Linked DNA regions of Saccharomyces cerevisiae S288C. Changing the gene in region 4 together with the main gene of any one other region gives a genetic interaction. Each region holds a gene or a part of one and is shown on either strand. Other genes may lie near its edges. The genes, in order: SRM1, NCL1, PUS1 and TRM8.

What was found.
Region 1: mutations in TRM8 (region 4) and SRM1 together harm fitness more than expected from each alone (negative genetic interaction), as found in Saccharomyces cerevisiae (2 studies listed by BioGRID).
Region 2: mutations in TRM8 (region 4) and NCL1 are lethal when combined (synthetic lethality), as found in Saccharomyces cerevisiae (4 studies listed by BioGRID, with this or other methods).
Region 3: mutations in TRM8 (region 4) and PUS1 together harm fitness more than expected from each alone (negative genetic interaction), as found in Saccharomyces cerevisiae (3 studies listed by BioGRID, with this or other methods).

Annotation. Positions count from the first base shown.
Region 1 is NC_001139.9:319,291-324,606, reverse strand, and holds SRM1 (Ran guanyl-nucleotide exchange factor), read right to left. Parts: upstream 2,826-5,316; coding exon 1,377-2,825; downstream 1-1,376. UniProt on the Saccharomyces cerevisiae protein: Guanine nucleotide exchange factor that promotes the exchange of GSP1/GSP2-bound GDP by GTP and controls RNA metabolism and transport. Involved in yeast pheromone response pathway and in mRNA metabolism.
Region 2 is NC_001134.8:169,743-175,683, forward strand, and holds NCL1 (tRNA (cytosine-C5-)-methyltransferase), read left to right. Parts: upstream 1-2,791; coding exon 2,792-4,846; downstream 4,847-5,941. Other genes in the region: Sm-like protein LSM2, read left to right, coding at 881-934, 1,063-1,296; RRN10 (Rrn10p), read left to right, coding at 1,739-2,176; MCM DNA helicase complex subunit MCM2, read right to left, coding at 5,178-5,941. UniProt on the Saccharomyces cerevisiae protein: Methylates cytosine to m5C at several positions in different tRNAs and pre-tRNAs containing intron. Able to modify tRNAs at all four positions (34, 40, 48 and 49) at which m5C has been found in tRNAs.
Region 3 is NC_001148.4:150,397-154,932, forward strand, and holds PUS1 (pseudouridine synthase PUS1), read right to left. Parts: upstream 2,754-4,536; coding exon 1,119-2,753; downstream 1-1,118. Other genes in the region: U2 snRNP complex subunit LEA1, read left to right, coding at 218-934; ribosome biosynthesis protein NIP7, read left to right, coding at 3,099-3,644; signal recognition particle subunit SRP72, read right to left, coding at 3,894-4,536. UniProt on the Saccharomyces cerevisiae protein: Formation of pseudouridine at positions 27 and 28 in the anticodon stem and loop of transfer RNAs; at positions 34 and 36 of intron-containing precursor tRNA(Ile) and at position 35 in the intron-containing tRNA(Tyr).
Region 4 is NC_001136.10:96,898-101,596, reverse strand, and holds TRM8 (tRNA (guanine46-N7)-methyltransferase), read right to left. Parts: upstream 2,037-4,699; coding exon 1,176-2,036; downstream 1-1,175. Other genes in the region: YDL199C (uncharacterized protein), read left to right, coding at 1-307; MGT1 (methylated-DNA--protein-cysteine methyltransferase), read left to right, coding at 530-1,096; mitochondrial 54S ribosomal protein uL10m MRPL11, read right to left, coding at 2,373-3,122; ACK1 (Ack1p), read left to right, coding at 3,644-4,699. UniProt on the Saccharomyces cerevisiae protein: Methyltransferase that catalyzes the formation of N(7)-methylguanine at position 46 (m7G46) in tRNA, a modification required to maintain stability of tRNAs; its absence resulting in tRNA decay.

The DNA.
Region 1 (5,316 bases), on a different chromosome or scaffold from region 4:
TTTCTCAGGGGCAAGTTGAGCTAAAGCAACACTTGTTTATTGTTTATTGTTTATTGTTTCTTATTCGTGATGTTGGGTTCACTAAAGTACAGTGTAGTGGCAGGGGATATTGGTAAGTAAGAACTGTTTCGTAGTTTTTTTTATTGGCGAAAGTAGGCTTAAAAAACCAACTAGTATTACCGTGCTGCGCCAAGCCATTTTTCAAAAATCTAAAAGTTTATGTCCTATTGGGTCTAGAGCCAGAAATGTTGAATGACAGTTACTCTTTTTGATAATTAGTTCTAGTACCACTTTATTCACTGCCCGTATATCTCGTATAAACAAGTAATCTTGTTCTATATTTACGCTGCATTATTGAATGTGGGAAGAAAAGGAAAGGAAAATAAGCCATGAGCGAAAGAAAAAGCAAATCACAGTAAAAACAACTCACTACATTTCCGCCTCCCCCCCTTCAAAGAAATTCCCAAGAACTTAACGGATTTGTTTATATTAGCAAAGCTAATCTTCAGAGAAAAGACTGCAGCCTTGGTTCTGCAAAGGGCCTCAATAAAAAAAAAGCGCTGCGCTACTCTACAGTGTTCTATTTTTTATTCGCGAAAATGATGCAACACCCAGTCACGATACATTTGATTAGTTAGATTCTGTGGAGAATGCACGCCACACTGACTATGCAAATGCAAAGACATTAAAATTGTACATGCTTTTCAGCGGTGCCTTATATGTCAGACCATCAATATAGTTCTTTTAGGGGAGAGTCAGCGGTAATTTATGTGCATATCTGGTTTACCTACCGTGCTTGCTTATCTTCCTCACAAGACTTTCTGTTGTTTTTATGGTCTGTATGAGCAATCTCCGGTATGCATTTTCCATAATGCTGTTGAAGAAAGTTAAAATACGATAGGTAATTTGTCGCGGTTAGAGAGAGCAATGAATTTTTCCGTGCTAACATGTTCACCGGAAGTTTATCCTTTGCTTTGCCTGTTGCTGGTGTCTTGGCACATTTTTAATTTTTCTCCGTTTTTCTCAAAAAATCCGATTAAATTCCTTAGAAAGTTCATTACTAGAGAAACGTGCAGAAGAGGAAGAACCTGAAGGGCTGGACGAGCGGATGGATTACATAATACTTACTCAGTGTTGATTTCATCCGCCTGCTAGTTGTCGTCTGGTAACTCCTCGCACTTATGCCCCTGTACTCAATGTAAAGGCCCAAGAAAAATTAAAAAAAAAAAAAAAAAAAAAAAAAAATAAACATGAGAATTTGTCGGTATCGGATAATCATATCGTTTTCTCGTTTTTCTTTGATTTATGTTATATTTTACAATTTATACTGAGGTGCATTATGTCGATTTTCTTTTATTTATCTTTGTACTACTACCTTAATCATCCATTTCATCCGCTCTCTTTTCTGCGTCCTCATCAGACAGCTTAACACCACCAGACACGGAAAATTGGCCTCCACACCCGACTAAAATGATGTTATGATCCTGTGTAGCAGTATTCTTGATTCTGGTTGGAACTTCAGTGTCGTCCTCAAAAGGGCCTAATCCAACGGCGTAGGTTTCACCAAAACCCCAAGAATAGGCAATGCCATTTTGAGCTACCGCGACTGAATGGTGAGACCCCGCCGCAACGCTTTTGAACTTCGGAACATTATTCAACTTAGTTGGAAGTGGCACGGCACGTGCTTTTCCATGAACATCTTTGTAAGTATATTCGGGTAAATTGTCTTTTGGGATACCAACTTCAAACATGTCTAGTCTACCACACGAATACAAATCGCCATCTTGGGATAGGATCAATGAGTGATGTTCACCAGCAGCAATGCTTCTGATAACAACGTTATCAGGTAGCGCTAGTCTTTTTGGCTTTGTAACAAGCGCACCGTCTTCCACATCCTCTGAAACACCACATTGACCAAACTGATTCAACCCCCAGCTTACTAACTTGTTGTCTTTTGTTAAAGCAAAGCAATGGTTTTCGCCAGATGCGATGTATTTTACATGTCTTAACCCAAATGGTCTGGGATCCAAAGTCTTTAAACGGAACCTTTCCATAACTTTTCTTCCTAATTGGTTTTGCTGACCGTTACCCCAGGCGAACACCATACCCTCTTCATCTAAGAAAAGTATGTGATCCTTACCGGGAGCTAATTGGACAATATTGTACTTAGAGAATGTAGGCACTTTCCATGGAGTTTTTTGAATTTTAATTTTATCTTGGTAAAACCCTAGGATACCTTCATTGCAACGGAAAGTACCCCATGCGTATACCTCGCCATTGCTGAACAGGGCGCAACTCATATTGTCTGTAGCTGCCAATTGCACGACCTTGTGTCCCTCCGCTAAGGGAGGAAATGACTCTCTTGGGATTTTAGCGGGCGTAGATTCCAATTCGTTCAAATCACCATCTTCGTCATCACTTGAGTCATCGGCGTCCATGTCCTTGAGTTGTTCCTTGGCGTTGGAAGTATCTCTGCCCAACGCACCCACGTCATTGCAACCCCAGGACCATACATTGCTTTCTTCATCAAGGGCTAAGGTGTGCATACCACCGACTGCAAAAGAAATGATCTTGGCCTCATCGCGAGGTAAAAATGGGTTTAACCTTGGTCTTTTAACTTCCTTATTTTTGGCTAGTGGACCCAACCCAAGCTCACACATAGAACCAGTACCCCAGCAAAATATATCCAATGGTTGGACACTTAAGTACATATGCTTGTAGTCTTCTTGAGCGTTTATGATATGAGAAGCATGAGTTTTAGACATTTTCTTTGCTCTATGAGCGCCAGACGCGTCTCCATTGGTGGCGACTGTTCTTTTGACCATTTTAAACTTTTATATGACAACTTTTTAAGTTTCTGGATCCAGGATTTGACTTAAAGAGGATGTCTTGATGACTTTTAATATTCTCGAGATCGGTGATTTTATTCATCCTGCCTTGCCTCTCCCGTGCTTTTTTGTTTTTTTGAAATTTTATTTGTGCGGGTAATGAATATTGTTTGTCCTTCGAGAGGTCCTCGCGAAACCCTGCTACTTTTAGCCGCCCAACGATTGAAAAAGAAGGGAATTGCTAGATAGCTATCTCTGTCGGAAGCAAACAATATATATATATATATATATGTAACTCTTGATATCGGTGCTCTCTACTTTAGAGTATGCGGTGTTCCTCTGTCCATTAAAAGCAAGTGTCCTTTTCTTTAGAGTCTCGGATTATACTATCTTGGAAGTGAGTTTTTAAAGAACCAGAATGGCAGGACACTGGAATACAGATTGGCTTTATATCGTTACTGCCGAGGGAAGACTCTCATAATATCTAAATTTTCTGTTCCGATTCTCTTACTTGCAAATATTTTACACTCTGTCAGGAATAATCAGTAATTGCCTCATTGAATTATCTTAGGTAGTTCTCTTTCAACTGCTATTGTATTTCAATCTTGGGGACTACAAAACGTTGTAGCAATTGTTGACGATGGTTCCTACCTGAAATATGGCCTTAAGAATTTACCGCGAGCAACGGGAGGGATAATGTCCAACACGGCTTTTTATTATTATTATTTTCCGAACCTATAAATCCATCAGTATTCCTTTCAAGAGTTTTTCCGTCTCTGGCTGAAGGCTCATTTCCATGATGGGGTCACAATTATTATCGCACACAATTTTGGTGGCGTTGAAATTGATGCCGGAATTTGCCCCAGTGCTATAGGTGTTTTACTTAACACATAATTTCTGAACCCATAATAAATGACACGTAAATTTCCCCTTTTTATTTAGTGGAACTGAACCTGTTTTGCCATTAAGAAGCAAATACCTTCCTGTTGCTTGATTTGCCCTGTTTGTCTTATGTGTTGAAGAGAAATTAGAATATTATGTGGCGTATCAATGCCAAAGTATTATATAATGTGTTGAAACGAGCGGTATTTAATAGTAACATGAGTTACTATGGTAACGATCTAAATGTTTAAATCCTATACGATGAAGTATGGAAGCACTATTACAAAAGGAAATGTAAATGAGCATGTCAGAAAGTACTGAATTTGAGTTAAGAGTCTATTAATTGAATGAGATCTGAAAGTCACATATAAGAGCAATATGAGTCGTCACATTAAATGTATGAAGCTGCCGGAATCACCATTATATTAGCCATATATAATAATGAAACAATCGGCATGTGGTTTATACCTCTGTTATATAAGTACAAAAAGATCCATATTCATTCTTCATTAATACAACCTGTTAACTTTTAACTATCAACATAAAGAGCTTAGCTGTCTTAGTTAGCTTCGCTTTTTATCATAACTACACCTCCTTTAGGTAAAAGAGAAGTACCTCTAACTTACACTATTTCTTTCGTGGAAAGAAGCTGCACTAAAACAGGTTTTAAAACAGACCGATTTATTTACCATAGGATACCTACATATTTTTGTCCCCTCTACATATCGTATCGCCGAGCATTCATAGAAGTTGAACTACATCCTTATTTCAATTATGTGCAGTACGAATGCATTCTTTTTGCCAGGAGACAAACCACAAATTTACATAACTGCAAATCGTACTGTTTTGTGGGCATTTGGGTTCACATCAAGCAAGACGTACTCTCTTATTAGAGGCATAGAACGAACGCTTTTACAATTCATTTTCAATTCCTCTTCTGTTTCTCGACCTCGTTCTATGACAACTCGCAACAAAAAAAATGATTTCTTCCTTCTCTTGGTCGGGTTTGGAAAGTTGTGCGAGAAGGCGAAATTTCGGAAAAAATGCCATCTCCTAGAATCGAACCAGGGTTTCATCGGCCACAACGATGTGTACTAACCACTATACTAAGATGGCTAATTTCTTTATGAACTTTGTTGTATCTCAAAATGAGATATGTCAGTATGACAATACGTCATCCTAAACGTTCATAAAACACATATGAAACAACCTTATAACAAAACGAACAACATGAGATAAAACCCGTCCTTCCCTAGCTGAACTACCAAAAGTATAAATGCCTGAACAATTAGTTTAGATCCGAGATTCCGCGCTTCCACCACTTAATATGATTCATATTTTATATAATATATAAGATAAGTAACATTCCGTGAATTAATCTGATAAACTGTTTTGACAACTGGTTACTTCCCTAAGACCGTTTATATTAGGATTGTCAAGACACTCCGGTATTACTCGAGCCCGTAATACAACAAACTTTGACCTTCAGTATTTTTGTGTTGTGTTGTTCTATTAACGCCTCTCTAACAATAGATATTTTGGAATGGGTGGTAATTGTTAGAATGAAACTTTAACATATCGTCTATTTGATATTATTCAGGTTGCT
Region 2 (5,941 bases), on a different chromosome or scaffold from region 4:
ATTTCTTTGATGATACTGCCAGGATTGAGAGTTTGGTTGCCACATGTACGCTTAGGACACTCATGACTATCACTCCTGTGTATCGCTTCCATGTCGTATACCCACTGGCCGATTCTCACCCTCTGCATTGTATGATATTACTAGTATTGCTTGTTTCAGGGGCAAGAATTTTCACTAATACACTACCAGTTTATGATAGCTTATCTACATCCTTTTACTGCAAAATTATTCTGGATTTGCAAAATTATTCTGGATTTGCAAAAGTTCGGCTTCACTATCAAAGCGAAAGGTGACCTTTTTATCGTACCTTTAAGAAAGATAGGCATAAACAATACTGTGTGGCAGGAAAAGATTTGATGAAGACCAAAAACAGCATCGAAGTGCTTTGCTACGATTTCTTTTTTTACTCTCCGGTTATTTTGAGCTATCTTGTCATTATATCTTTAAATTTATATATTTCTTTGCCCAGCTTTTAAGCGTTCACTGGAATTGCCCATATGTTCACTAAATATAAAACTGATTATTCTCTCCTCTATATTGTCATCTCGGCAGAAAAGCTACTTTTAAATAAGTTTTAAACACCAGTTTTCTGCAATGATAAAAATAGCTACTTTGGATAGAGGCTGAGGCCTAACTAGTTGGAAGAAACTACTTAGGGATCCTTTGTACGGGAAACTTTTTTCCGCTGTTGTAATTGTATCATTGTCGTTGTTCATTTTTCAAATCCAGGCAATGAGGAAGTTTTGAACCAAAAAAAATAAAACCGAAAACAGAGCAACTTTAATTATAGTACGGCATATAAGGAAAACAAATCCAGAATTCAATAAAAGAATACAATACTTTCGAACACATATCTCACGCTGATAACACCCTAGCAAGTATGCTTTTCTTCTCCTTTTTCAAGACTTTAGTTGACCAAGAAGTGGTCGTAGAGGTATGTTCATAATGATTTACATCGGAATTCCCTTTGATACAAGAAAACTAACGGGTATCGTACATCAATTTTTGAAAAAAGTCAAGTACTAACGTTTGTTTACCCCTGTTTATTGTGTTTCCACTCAGTTAAAAAACGACATTGAAATAAAAGGTACACTACAATCAGTTGACCAATTTTTGAATCTGAAACTAGACAACATATCATGCACAGATGAAAAAAAATATCCACACTTGGGTTCCGTAAGGAATATTTTTATAAGAGGTTCAACAGTCAGGTACGTTTACTTGAATAAGAACATGGTAGATACGAATTTGCTACAAGACGCTACCAGAAGGGAGGTAATGACTGAAAGAAAATAAGAATTATGCAGTCTATCCTCATGGCATTTTTTCTCATTAGTTTTTTACACGAGTATCATTTTAGGATATTGAGATTATATGTATATGTATATATGTAGGCCATAAGATGATTCAACGGTTTGTATTAATTATCCGGTTCCGAGCGTTAGGAGAAATAACTTGGTGTGATATCTGTCAAGTGGTCATCCAAAATTTTTTTGGCCAGAGCGTAAGCTACGTAGACTGATGAGGAATTCTTTTTTTTTGCCCCATTTTATCCCAAGAAATTCATTATGAGGTTTTGTTTTGTTTTACTAAATGCGCTTGATGGAAAAGCGAATGTCATGAAATGCAGATCAACACTCCAATAAAAAAGTAAATGTTTTTAAAGAAGTATATCACGCTACAAAAATTCATAAGCACTATATTTCGAACGTTAACCTAAATCTCTCCCACTAAGAAAATGGATAGAAATGTATATGAAGCCTGCAGCAATATAATTAAGGAATTTGGAACACATGTAGTGAGCGCCGATGAAGTACTCGCAGAAAAAATAGATAATGCTGTTCCTATACCGTTCAAAACAAGGGAGGAGATAGATGCCGACGTGGAAAAAGATAGAAACGAAGGAGTTTTCGAAGGTAATATCATTCCTGATATCGACCTACGTGTAGTACACTACTACGCCACGCAGTTGTGTCTAAATAAGTATCCTCATTTGATTAACGCCTTTGATGAGACAAGCCTTATAACATTGGGTTTACTCATCGAAAAGTGGGTAAAAGACTATCTAACCAGCATCCAGACAGAACAGGGAAGGCAAAGTAAGGTAATCGGGAAGGGGCCATGCGAATTCATATCAAAACATATTGATTATAGGCATGCGCCAGGTAATATCTGAATGTAGCAAAAACCTGGCTTTTGCGGCTGGGGAGGATGGAAGGCTTTTGTAGGCTATTATCTACTCGAGGAAGGAACGTTAGAATATCTCCATTTTTCACGCAAAATGTGGTTCTGAGTTAATGCGTGTGCTGAAGCATAACATGAGTTATTCCCTGTATGTATGTACAGTATTTCAATTTCGCAGACCGTGGGTTACATATGTGAGCGATTAGGAAGTAGTGAAGTAATTATGGCAAGTCTAGAGGTCCGGCTGATCCCTTGCGGTGCTGAAGTAACGAAACCGCGCGCATATCTTTTGGAAGAGATTAATTTGCACTGAATTTTCAAACTTAATTAGCGAGAAGAAGTAGATGCATTTCAATTATGCCAAAAGCAGTATTTATTACTTCTTATAGAATATAGTATCACTTACGCTCATTTAGTGTACCCACTTACGTATTAAATGACGTACTTTTTTTTTGTCCTCTTCTGTAGCTTTTTTTCACTTTGAAAAATTTAGCGCTGAGTTCTTCCAAAGACGTCAAATCACCTACTATAGTTAAAAACATATTACTTATACTAGTTCTAACACTTCCTTTTATCTACACTGTAATCCGAAGAATACACTATAAGGATGGCTAGAAGAAAGAATTTCAAAAAAGGGAACAAGAAGACTTTTGGTGCTCGTGATGACTCGAGAGCTCAAAAAAACTGGTCTGAACTGGTAAAGGAAAATGAAAAATGGGAAAAATACTATAAGACTTTAGCTCTTTTCCCAGAAGATCAATGGGAAGAATTTAAAAAGACATGTCAAGCTCCACTTCCTCTAACTTTTAGAATTACAGGTTCTAGAAAGCATGCCGGTGAGGTCCTGAATTTGTTTAAAGAAAGACATCTACCAAACTTGACTAATGTTGAGTTTGAAGGTGAGAAGATTAAGGCCCCTGTAGAATTACCTTGGTATCCAGACCATCTTGCTTGGCAATTGGACGTTCCTAAGACGGTTATTAGAAAGAATGAACAATTCGCAAAAACTCAGAGATTTTTAGTTGTTGAAAATGCCGTTGGTAATATCTCAAGACAAGAAGCCGTTTCAATGATTCCTCCAATCGTTCTAGAAGTAAAACCTCATCACACTGTTTTAGATATGTGTGCTGCTCCTGGCTCCAAAACTGCTCAATTAATCGAAGCCTTGCACAAGGATACAGATGAACCATCTGGTTTCGTTGTAGCTAATGATGCCGATGCCAGAAGATCTCATATGTTGGTTCACCAATTGAAGAGATTGAACAGTGCCAACTTGATGGTTGTCAACCATGACGCCCAATTCTTCCCACGTATCAGATTACATGGCAACTCAAATAACAAGAATGATGTTTTAAAATTTGACAGAATCCTGTGTGACGTTCCATGTTCTGGTGATGGTACCATGAGGAAAAATGTTAATGTTTGGAAAGACTGGAACACACAAGCAGGTCTTGGTTTGCATGCTGTTCAGCTGAATATATTAAACAGGGGTTTGCATCTTCTAAAGAACAACGGTAGATTGGTTTACTCAACCTGTTCTTTAAATCCTATTGAAAATGAAGCGGTTGTTGCCGAAGCGTTAAGAAAGTGGGGTGACAAGATTAGATTAGTTAACTGTGATGATAAGCTTCCTGGCCTAATAAGATCCAAGGGTGTATCCAAATGGCCTGTCTATGACAGAAATTTGACTGAGAAAACCAAAGGAGACGAAGGTACACTAGATAGTTTCTTTTCACCATCTGAAGAAGAGGCATCGAAATTCAATTTACAAAATTGTATGAGGGTTTATCCTCACCAACAAAACACAGGCGGATTTTTCATTACTGTTTTCGAAAAAGTCGAAGATAGCACTGAGGCGGCTACAGAGAAACTATCTTCTGAAACCCCAGCTCTAGAGTCTGAAGGACCTCAAACAAAGAAAATAAAGGTAGAAGAAGTCCAAAAGAAAGAAAGACTACCACGTGACGCGAACGAAGAGCCTTTTGTTTTCGTTGATCCACAGCACGAAGCTTTAAAAGTTTGTTGGGATTTCTACGGCATCGATAATATTTTCGACAGAAACACTTGTTTAGTGCGTAACGCCACTGGTGAACCAACAAGAGTGGTTTACACTGTGTGTCCAGCATTGAAGGATGTTATTCAAGCGAATGACGATAGGTTGAAGATTATTTATTCTGGTGTAAAATTGTTTGTCTCTCAAAGAAGTGATATCGAATGTTCATGGAGAATCCAAAGTGAATCATTGCCAATAATGAAACACCATATGAAATCTAATAGAATTGTTGAAGCTAATTTAGAGATGTTAAAACACTTGTTAATCGAATCTTTCCCTAACTTTGACGACATTCGTTCGAAGAACATCGATAATGATTTTGTTGAAAAGATGACAAAATTAAGCTCTGGTTGCGCCTTTATTGATGTGTCAAGAAATGACCCTGCCAAAGAAAACTTATTCTTGCCTGTGTGGAAAGGCAACAAGTGTATCAATTTGATGGTTTGTAAAGAAGATACTCATGAGCTATTATATAGGATCTTTGGTATTGATGCGAATGCCAAGGCTACTCCAAGCGCTGAAGAAAAAGAAAAAGAAAAAGAAACGACTGAATCTCCCGCAGAAACTACTACCGGAACCTCTACTGAAGCTCCTAGCGCTGCTAATTGATAGTTATCATGTTTCTTATCCCCTCCACTGTAAAGTAAATGTATATTATTAAAAGGCAAAAATAAGAATATAATACTTCAGTAATGAGCCTTTTTTATTCGGTCTTGTTACTTCTTTTTTACTTCATTTTTTTTTTTTTTTTTGGATAGTAAATAATGCACTTTTGACTAGATCTTGAGTATTTAGTTGAATTGAAATTAAAGATACAGTGTATAAAAATTATACAAAAAATAAAGGAAACTTGTATATTGAAAATAGGATTGCCAATACATGGATTGAGACAGAGAATTTTTTATCTTCATATCCAGATATTCGTAGGAATAACAAAGTTTTAGTGACCCAAGGTATAAATTGCGAAAGACCTGCGGAGTTGGCGGCGAACACTGACTTTTTGGGCATCAACAAAGGAATCAACTACAACTTTGATAGCTCTATCCAAATCATAAGAAGACACAAATTCAGATAATCTCATTTTAGCAAAAGATTCTGCAATTCTTAGAATAGATTCTAAATGACGAACTGTGATTGGAAACGAACCTGTAGAAATACTTTCTCTTCTCAAATCCGCATATACCCTGCTAACCTTATCCATATCCATCTGATGCAATTTAGGGTATATTTTTGTCCTCGCATAGTGAATATATTTCATCAATAATTCCTGTGGAATAGGCGAGATCTCTTCCTCCTTCTTCCTTTGTCTTTGAAGTCTTCTTTGCCTTGCATTAAGCTGCTCATTTATTTCATCTTCTCCTTGTTCTATCGCCGATTCGCCATTATTTTTAAGCTCTTCGCCTTCTCGATCTTCATCGTTTTCTGGATGAGATCTTACATGAGAATCGACAACAAATGTGGCCAATCTTTCGTCTGCCTCTTCATCAACAAGGTCTCTGACAACACATAAAATATCAAATCTAGACAGAATAGGCTCGGTCAAACTAACATTCTGAGCTAAAGGCAAGGTTGAATTATATCTACCACCATTAGGATTTGCCGCAGCAATAATTGAGCAGCGCGCTTGTAATGTAGTAACAATACCGGCCTTGGAAATGGAAATACTTTGCTGTTCCATAGCCTCATGAATAGATGTACGATCCT
Region 3 (4,536 bases), on a different chromosome or scaffold from region 4:
TGAAATAAACCTTATCTATCTTTTTTTTGTTCCTGGTTTTCAAAGTTGATTTTCGACAGACCCTAGTTAATTATAGGAAAAAGCCCTATTAGTCTTTTTCTTATCATAGATGACATTTACTTATATTAGGCCAATCGCATACTCTGCATCCAACAAGCCTTCAACAGGTCGAAGTGAAACTACAGGACTTGGAAAATATCAGTTTTTATAAGCAATAATGAAGTTCACCCCTAGCATAGTTATTGATGCTCCGCAATATTATGTTGATCATTTTAATGGCAAGTATAACGTGGATAAATGTGTTATTTTAAGAGACCTGCAGCTAGAAACGGATTCAGAATCCATGCCATCCAGCTTAAAGCATTTGACCAAACCTACGCACATCTTGGATTTGACAAACAATGACCTTATCATGATTCCAGATCTATCAAGAAGAGACGATATACATACATTACTGTTGGGCCGAAACAATATCGTTGAAGTAGACGGTCGCCTATTGCCTATGAATGTACAGAACCTTACATTATCGAATAACAGCATAAGAAGGTTTGAAGATCTTCAAAGGTTGCGTAGAGCGCCCAGGACGTTGAAGAATCTAACTTTAATAGGGAATCAAGTATGTCATTTAGCCAATTATAGAGAACATGTACTTCGATTAGTACCGCATTTAGAGACTTTAGACTTTCAAAACGTAACAGCTGAGGAAAGAAAGAGCGCAATGAGCTTTCCAAGGCAGGCGGACGGCGATACGTTGGGCCCAGTAAATACTGCAATAAGAGATAATGGATCCAGAGATAAAACGATGGAGATCATGAATTTGGTGGTGAGTAAGATGACAGTAGAGAGAAGAAATGAATTGAAAAAGCAGTTAGCAGAAGCTACTTCTTTAGAAGAGATTGCCAGGCTGGAAAAACTACTCTCTGGTGGTGTTTAATCTTTTGGTTAGTGCGACTGTTCAATGACTTAAAAAAAAAGAATTATAAATTATTCTGTGCCATTATATAATAATATATAAAACGAAAACAAATAATGGTGCTCTATAAACATTAGAGGACAATGTCAATTTCAATGTCAATGCCTTAGAAATTAAAGTTGGTAAGAAAGAAGGAAAGGGCAACCTAATTAGCTGCCGCTTCCGGTTGTACTTCAGGTTCGTTGCTCTGAGTGGTGCTGGATATTTCAGCCTTTTTACTAGCAGCTTCCTCCTCTTCCATTCTTTTTCTTTGCTTAATCTTCTTATTGCTCTCGGGCGCATCAGTAAGACCTGGGATACCCTTAGCTGTCAAGAATTCGAAGATACTCTTTTGCACAGCAGGTCCCGATTTATCGGCAGTTTCTTCTCCCTGTGCTCCAGTAACCTTGTTGAAACTATCAATATAACTAAAGAACGCATTAAAAACATTTTCGTCCACCTCTTCCTTGTAGATCTTATCGTAGATATGCTTCATTTTGAACTTATCCACTTCGTCTTGATATTTGGAAAAATCGATCGCCTTGTAACCAAACTGTTCTAGTCTTTTATTATAACCTTCAAATACTGGAGCTTCTAACAATAATCCTAATGCAGGTGCCTTCGGAATATTAATCTTCTGCTGTCCGTAAGCCTGACTAATGCGTTCGACGGGGCAACCACAACGGGTAATTAAGGTTGCCATTGATACCATCTTACGAATTTGATGTAGCATGAAAGACTGGCCGTGAATCTTGATGGAAATCCATTCTGTTTGGGCATCGCCAATAACAAATGGATCAGATACTTTTATATCTTTCATAAATCGAATGGCACTTGGTTCTTTGAAGTCCTTGCCTAATGTAAAATTATGGAAGTTATGAGCGCCAAGGTATTGACTTGTAGAAGCACGGAATTTGGCCAGTTTTGCCGCGGATATACGATATCTTCTACGGTGAGCATTTTCTAATTGCTTGTACTTTTTTACCTTCTGGTATAGTTCTTCATTTATATCAAATTCATCTCTTGCGGGCGGAACATATGCTAATATAGCTTCGATTTCTTCTGTTGAAAATTTTTCATTCGCATCTTTTTTAAACTCTTCCCAAAATTCTTTGGATTCCAAATCTTCATCTAATACACCAGGTAATTCTGTTTTACTTTCTTCGATGTCTCTATAAAGTATAGAACCAGGTTTGGGGCCAATGAGTGAATAAGTTGGTAATAAGTATTCGTACCAACGTGAACTGCACATTTTTCTACAATCAAACGCCTTGTTCACACGCTCGATATCCCATACCCTTATCCCTTCCGGTAACTTTTCGTTGATCTTCTGCTTGATATCAGGATCTTCAATAATCATTTTCAATGATATTAAATTACCTCCAGCATGGACACCCTTATCAGTTCTTGCAGCTCTCATGAATCCATTCTTTTTCAAATCGTTGGAGTTGTCCTTGGAAATAGCACCTGCTTCAACAAATGCTTTGAATAGGGCAGACTCGATGGTTGGATTTGGTGGATTATATTGCATACCATGGTAGCCAGTACCACAGTAACCAACCATAACAGCCACCTTTCTCTTTGGGAGACGAGGCTCCTTGGGAAGTGGATTGCCATTTTCATCCAAACGAGGACCGCTTTTTGGTCTTTTATCTATGTGTTTGTCATTATCCTTTTTTTTGTCCTTTTCATCGTCGAAGTCTGCCTTACGAGCTTTGGTCAATTTGCTCTGAGCGCCTCTCTTGTAGACATCCTCATTAACTTGATCGTCATAGGCAGGCCTCAAATTCTCTTCAGACATCCTTGATATCACTTATAATTGTTATTTACTAGCACTTTATTGTCCTTTATTATTTTTTTAGTACTTCTTGTATTTCAAATTTCTCGAACTATAGCGATGACTAAAAGTGAAAAATTTCAAAGCCAAAAGAAAAAAAAAAAAAGAAAATATTATTTCAGCGGCTAATAGTTACCCGCATCAAAATAATATATCTCTGTACGGTAATGAAAATTTTTGAAATATGCGATGAGCTTAGAACTAAAGTAAGCAATGTATTATTGAGGTAATTGACGGTTTAGTGATTGGATCGTATTCTAGATTTCCGAGTAGTAGAACCATTGAGGGAAACTATAGTTAGGTGCAATAATGAGACAGCTAACAGAAGAAGAGACCAAGGTTGTTTTCGAAAAACTCGCCGGCTATATTGGTAGAAATATTTCTTTTTTAGTGGATAATAAAGAACTTCCTCATGTCTTCAGATTACAAAAGGATAGAGTATATTACGTACCCGATCATGTTGCAAAATTGGCTACTAGTGTAGCAAGACCTAACTTGATGTCTCTGGGTATTTGTTTAGGTAAATTCACGAAAACTGGAAAATTCAGGTTACATATTACTTCTTTGACAGTATTGGCTAAGCATGCCAAATATAAGATATGGATTAAACCTAATGGGGAGATGCCATTCTTATACGGTAATCATGTGTTAAAGGCACATGTGGGTAAAATGTCTGATGATATACCAGAACACGCCGGTGTTATTGTGTTTGCAATGAATGATGTGCCATTAGGGTTCGGTGTCAGTGCGAAAAGTACTTCTGAGTCAAGAAACATGCAACCCACTGGTATAGTTGCTTTCAGACAAGCAGATATTGGTGAGTATTTGAGAGATGAAGACACCTTGTTTACTTAGTGGGAAGGACTGATGATGAATTCCCGTGTACATTTCACTTACAGCTTGCGTTATCTCTCACAATGTATTTTTTTCTGTATAATAAAGAATCATATAATTAGCGCTTAAAAGGAAAGAGTTGTTCGATAAAATGGGGAGCCTAACCCCTCGATGACCTTTCTTTTGAATTAGTCGAGTTCCATTTCATATACAATATTACATAACTTGACAACATTTGAGGATTACTAATGACAAAAATCTTTATACGCTCTATTTACGGCCCTTCTTCTTGTTCTTAGGCTTTTTATTAACAGTGGGCTTCCCTTTCTTTGATATGTCAAGGGCCTGTTCTGATTTTTTGTTCATAGCACCACCTTGAGTTTGTTTTGCACCTTGTTGTTTTTTCTTTGGCCTATAAGTAGACCTGTCTCTTAATGGCAGCCACCTTTCAGGATCAGGTAATTTGGAGGTGTCGCGACCTTGTAAAAATTTTTCGAGGCGTTTAATCTTTCTTTTCTTCTTTAGCTCTAAAACTTTTCTCTTTTGAACTTTGCTAACTGCGGTGTTTTTACTTCTCTTTGCTGACGATTCTAAGGGTTTCACACCAAGTTGAATTAATTTATCAATATCAATATCTCTCACTAGATCTATACCTTGTGCTATATCCAAAGAATCTGACGAAACAACTCTGTCAACAAGGACATCTGCATCGCCTTTACTAAAGTTTGAAATCTCTCTGAGTAAAGCCTTCGATTCTTTAGCATTACCCATGGACAATAATTCAAACCCGACGTGTTTCCAAAATGGTATGTTTTCTTGGATTTTTCCGCTCAATTGGACTCTCACGGAGCCTAATTTTTTAAGCAGAACACTTTTGGAGTTGTTTCTTCCCTTAATCTTGTATAATTCAAAT
Region 4 (4,699 bases):
CTCCTCCTCACCATCTTTTTCCGCGTATCAGATAAACACTCTAGGAAGTAGTATCAAACAAAATAATCAAGCCTATTCATCTATTCAAAATGAGCAGATTCTACCCAAAAACGGAAACTTATCGAACCAGACACACGGTTCTGCACAAAATGTTTATTTCATTACATCTGATTCAGGACCATCAAGGACTGGAGAATTTTTCAGTTTTCATAACAGAACCGATCCAAATATCAGCGACAACATTGCTGCGAATAAACCCAGTTCAGGTGGAGGCCAGAATTCGCCTGGAGACATGGCAGTTGCCTAGTATGGCCTCATAAAAATATTTGCTTCATCCTAAGTATAAATGTTTAGTTTTATCCTACATACATATTCTTATTATAGTCATTAGAAAAAAGGCACGGCGCTATTGGCCTGGCAGGGCATTTAAAATGCGGTGGAAACAAGGAAGATTAATCAAGTAATGATATAGCATATGCACAAAAAAAAAATTGAAAACGGTCGCATTTTTGATCTAAATGGACCAACGATGAAGGAACTGCTTTACTATACATTCATTGAAACTGAAGTGACTGGTGCATTTTTGGTGTTTAGGGAAAAGACTCAAAACCTTGTTTTTGCCTCGTTAGGTAATGATAAGCTTTTTTTATTGGGAAAGGTGGAAGGCTTCTTGAAGAAACATGAGAAACAGGATACAATGTACGATTTACAGGAACTAAAAGAGGCAGAAACATATAAGAAATCAATCGAAAATTATACAATATGTTTAGAAAACAAAATGCCATTACCATCGGGCGCTATTCCCTTTGAGTTCCTGTTTGGAACAGATTTTCAACGTAAAGTTTGGAATGAGCTTTTAAACGTGGAACACGGCCACGTCGTAACATATGGTGATATTGCAAAGAGAATAGGGAAGCCAACTGCCGCAAGATCTGTCGGAAGAGCTTGCGGCTCAAATAACCTGGCATTGTTAGTACCTTGCCATAGAATCGTTGGTAGCAATAGAAAATTAACCGGATATAAATGGAGCTGTAAACTGAAAGAACAGTTATTAAATAATGAAAAGGAAAATAGCTTAAGCCTTAGTAGATTGTAGTTGGATAAAGGATTTTAGGAAAATAAACATAAGAAATAGTTATGTATATGTGGTAAATTGTTCTAGTTATACATCTATGTTACAATATGGCTGGCGTTGGTAATCTTGTGAAACAAGCGACGAACTTGTCACCCTTCTTTCTTTCCACTTTTTTACCTTCTTCTGTGGCATTTCTCATTATTTTCACACATTCATCGTTTTCTTCCCATTCTTTGCTCAACCGTTCAAATAAAGGATGCTCTTCTAAATGTTTTACCATCCACTCATGCAGGTCTTTGACGTCTGTAATTGTGTACACGACACCGCCCTCTTTCAAAACATATGCGTACTCACTCAGCAAGGTGTTAGTGATAATTCTTGCCTTATGCTTTCTTTGTTTGAAATGAGGATCGGGGAAACAAAAAAACATTTTAGAAAGCTGGCCCTTTTCAAAAAAGTTGGGCAAGAATTTCATAGCGTTACCTCTCAAGACATTAATGTTTTGAAATCCATGTTTTGAAGCTGTATTGTTCCTTAAGGCAATAATTCTATCCTCCACGTAATTTGTAACCTGCACACGAATTTCCATCCCTAAGATAAGATCTTCAGGGAAGGCTGGTGATAAATCTATCATCAACCCACCGAATCCACAGCCAATATCAGCAATCGTCACCTTCTTTGTCATTTGTCCATTTTCCGCGTTTTTGTAGTAAGGGTACAATTTGGACCAATCCATATCCTGGGGAGATACTGGGTACTCTAACTGGTGATCTGAAAATGGGTTGGAATGCGCCCTTTGACGATAATATCTCTTCTTTGGCAAGTCGATCTTTTGGCCTTCTTGCACCAAAGAACTTTCATTGATCTTTACATGCTTCAACTCCTTACGATTTTCTTCCTTATTTATACGGTATGCGTAACGCTTGGAGCCTGGATCTTGGCTTAGTGGCTTGGCTTTCATCTTAACAATAAACGCTTGAAAATTTTATCCTATGGGAACTGCTGAATCTATACTAATCCAGCTTTTGTGGCGCTTTAATAAAGTGAAATGTCAGAAATATCCTGAAATTTTTTGCTGAAGTCATCACCAAAATTTTTCATTTTTTTTTTTTTTCAACGGTCGCTGAGATATGTAAAAAGGTAAGAAAGGTAAAAGAAAGGTAATTTTGACGTCAATACATAGACTAAAGTATATTTACCGTTATTGCTTCATTGTCTTTTTATTTTTTGATGATGTATGTACATGATTGAATAGTAAAACCTTTATAAAACTTGTCGAATTACGGGCATTTTCTTTTTACTTTGATCCCTTCGATTCTGCATCTGTAGTTGACTCCACATCCTCTTTAGGTTTTTGGTTGTCATTGTGAGATTTTAGTGTTAAATACAATGCATTTGAACTGTTTTCCAACGTACGAACCAAACCCAACCCACTTAGCATTTGCAAAACGCTGACTAACTGCGACTGCATTTCCGGCTTTGTGGGGAGAGTCTTAAAAGTGTTTATTTTTTCCACATTCAAAACTTCGTTTTCTACTTTTGCACCAATCACCATCAGCTTGTCTTGTGCTGACTGCAGAACCTTCAATAGCTTGGCTACTTGTTGAGGGTTGGTGTCTTCGTATGTAATTGTGGCCGTAGGACCCTTCAGTAGTGGCAAGAGTGGATGTTTCCAGTTTTGCTCTTTACGCTTCACGAATCCACATGGGTCGGGCAGATGCGAATTTCTCAAGTAGACTTCGAACAGGTTGTTTCTTACTTTTGTGAGTTTCCCTCCTGTCTGTTTAATCTTGAATCTGAAATGGTGATCTTCTGTTTTGGAAAGATTATTGTAATGGACAAAAAAAATCATAGAACTGTTCTCCATTAAATGCTTGTATGTATCGATGAGAAACGTCTTCCTCGAGTCCAGCGGCTTTACTGTCTTTCTTGAGGGTTGTTCAGAAGCCAGAGCATAAAATCTCTTATGTACTGTACCAATTGTCTCCTTCAAACCAAAAAAACCATTTCTGGGGACCCATCCAGGCATAAACCTTAGCTGCAACATTATTTATAATCACACTCCGCGCCCAAGCACTTCCAATAAGGTCTAAAGCTTTTGTTTTCCTTACTCTTCAATTGTACTAACCTTCTTTCTTTTCTCAGTTTACTGCTATAACTCTACGTTTTTTTCTGTATGAATCTCTACTAAGCCCTAGGGTTATTAGTGTATAAACGTTAGGTTACACTATGAAAAAGACTTGTTTAATAGGTCATATAGTAAAAAGCTTAGGTTAAGTGCCTTCAAGAACGAAACCTAATTTTAAAATTGACGACTAATTATCAAGTGTATTGAAGATGGCTTGAGATGAACCTTAGCACTGGATGCTATGGCTTGTAGAATAAGCAGATATCCCGGTAATTTAATTTGAGTTGCTCAAATTATATACAAGAACGTGGTAGAGACTGGATTTGGAAGCGTCTCTTTTTATGAAGTAGATTTTAACTCCGTTTTCTTTTCATTTCCTTCTATTCTTTTGTACAGAGTGTACCACCACGTTTTAATACTTTGTTTTAATACAGTAGGCAATGGTTAATCAGGGCCAACCGCAACCTAACCTCTATGACAAACACATTAACATGTTTCCACCAGCAAGGGCGCGGGAGTCCTCGCATAAATTGGGAAATGCCAATTCGGATAGGCATGGTTTGCCAGCTCAAAATATAGTGCCTGCACCCTATCCAGTGGATGACTCTATCGTTGAACTCACACCAGCTATTCCTTTTACATCCCCTTCATCTTCCTCATCATTATCGCTGCCTTTGAGTGCGCTGAATTTCACAGACGGGAATGCTGATGGTGGTCAATTAGGCACTCCAGTAACCATAAATAGTAATAACGGCATGGACATTTTTAATTCCAAGCCAACAGGTGAAATAGGATATGCCAATAATGGCACCAACAGTACTGGTAGTAGGTATGAACTTCCTTTCAATTTTAGTTCTACAAAAGAGAGTTTGGGTTCACCAGCTGTACAAGATGCATCAATAAGCAGTGGAAATCGAATATCAGAGTCTGTAAGGGACAACTCAGCGCCACCACCCTATGAGGAATCTGAATCTAGGATACTGCAGGAAAAAGTTTACAGAACCGAGGAAAAAGCTCCAATACGACCTTTGAATAATAATCCTGTTCCACCACAAAAAATCAACCAACCACCCACTGGGAGCGCGAAGACAGACGATAATGGGTCCTCAGGTGGTGAGGACAAACTGTCTTCCTATTCACCAGAGGCATTGGCTTTCTATCAAGTGTACAAGAAGACAATTACTGACTCTTCAAAATTCACCCCCGAGATACAAATGCAATGGTGTGAAACATTACTTACATATGCCTTTAATGAGGATTTCATATCGCAATATAACATAAACGCGGAGAAGCTCAAAAGAAGCTTAAAGCCTGAGGAAATGCTCAAAAACCAGAAAGTCATTTTGGAACATTCATTCAAGGTGCTCACAAAATTGATAACTTTAAAATGGCCACCTGCCATGTATTTAATGGGGACGCTGTATTCACACCAACCCTATTTACCTATAAAGAACAAAAACATCGTTATTAAAAATGATGAAAAGGCGCTGGAATAT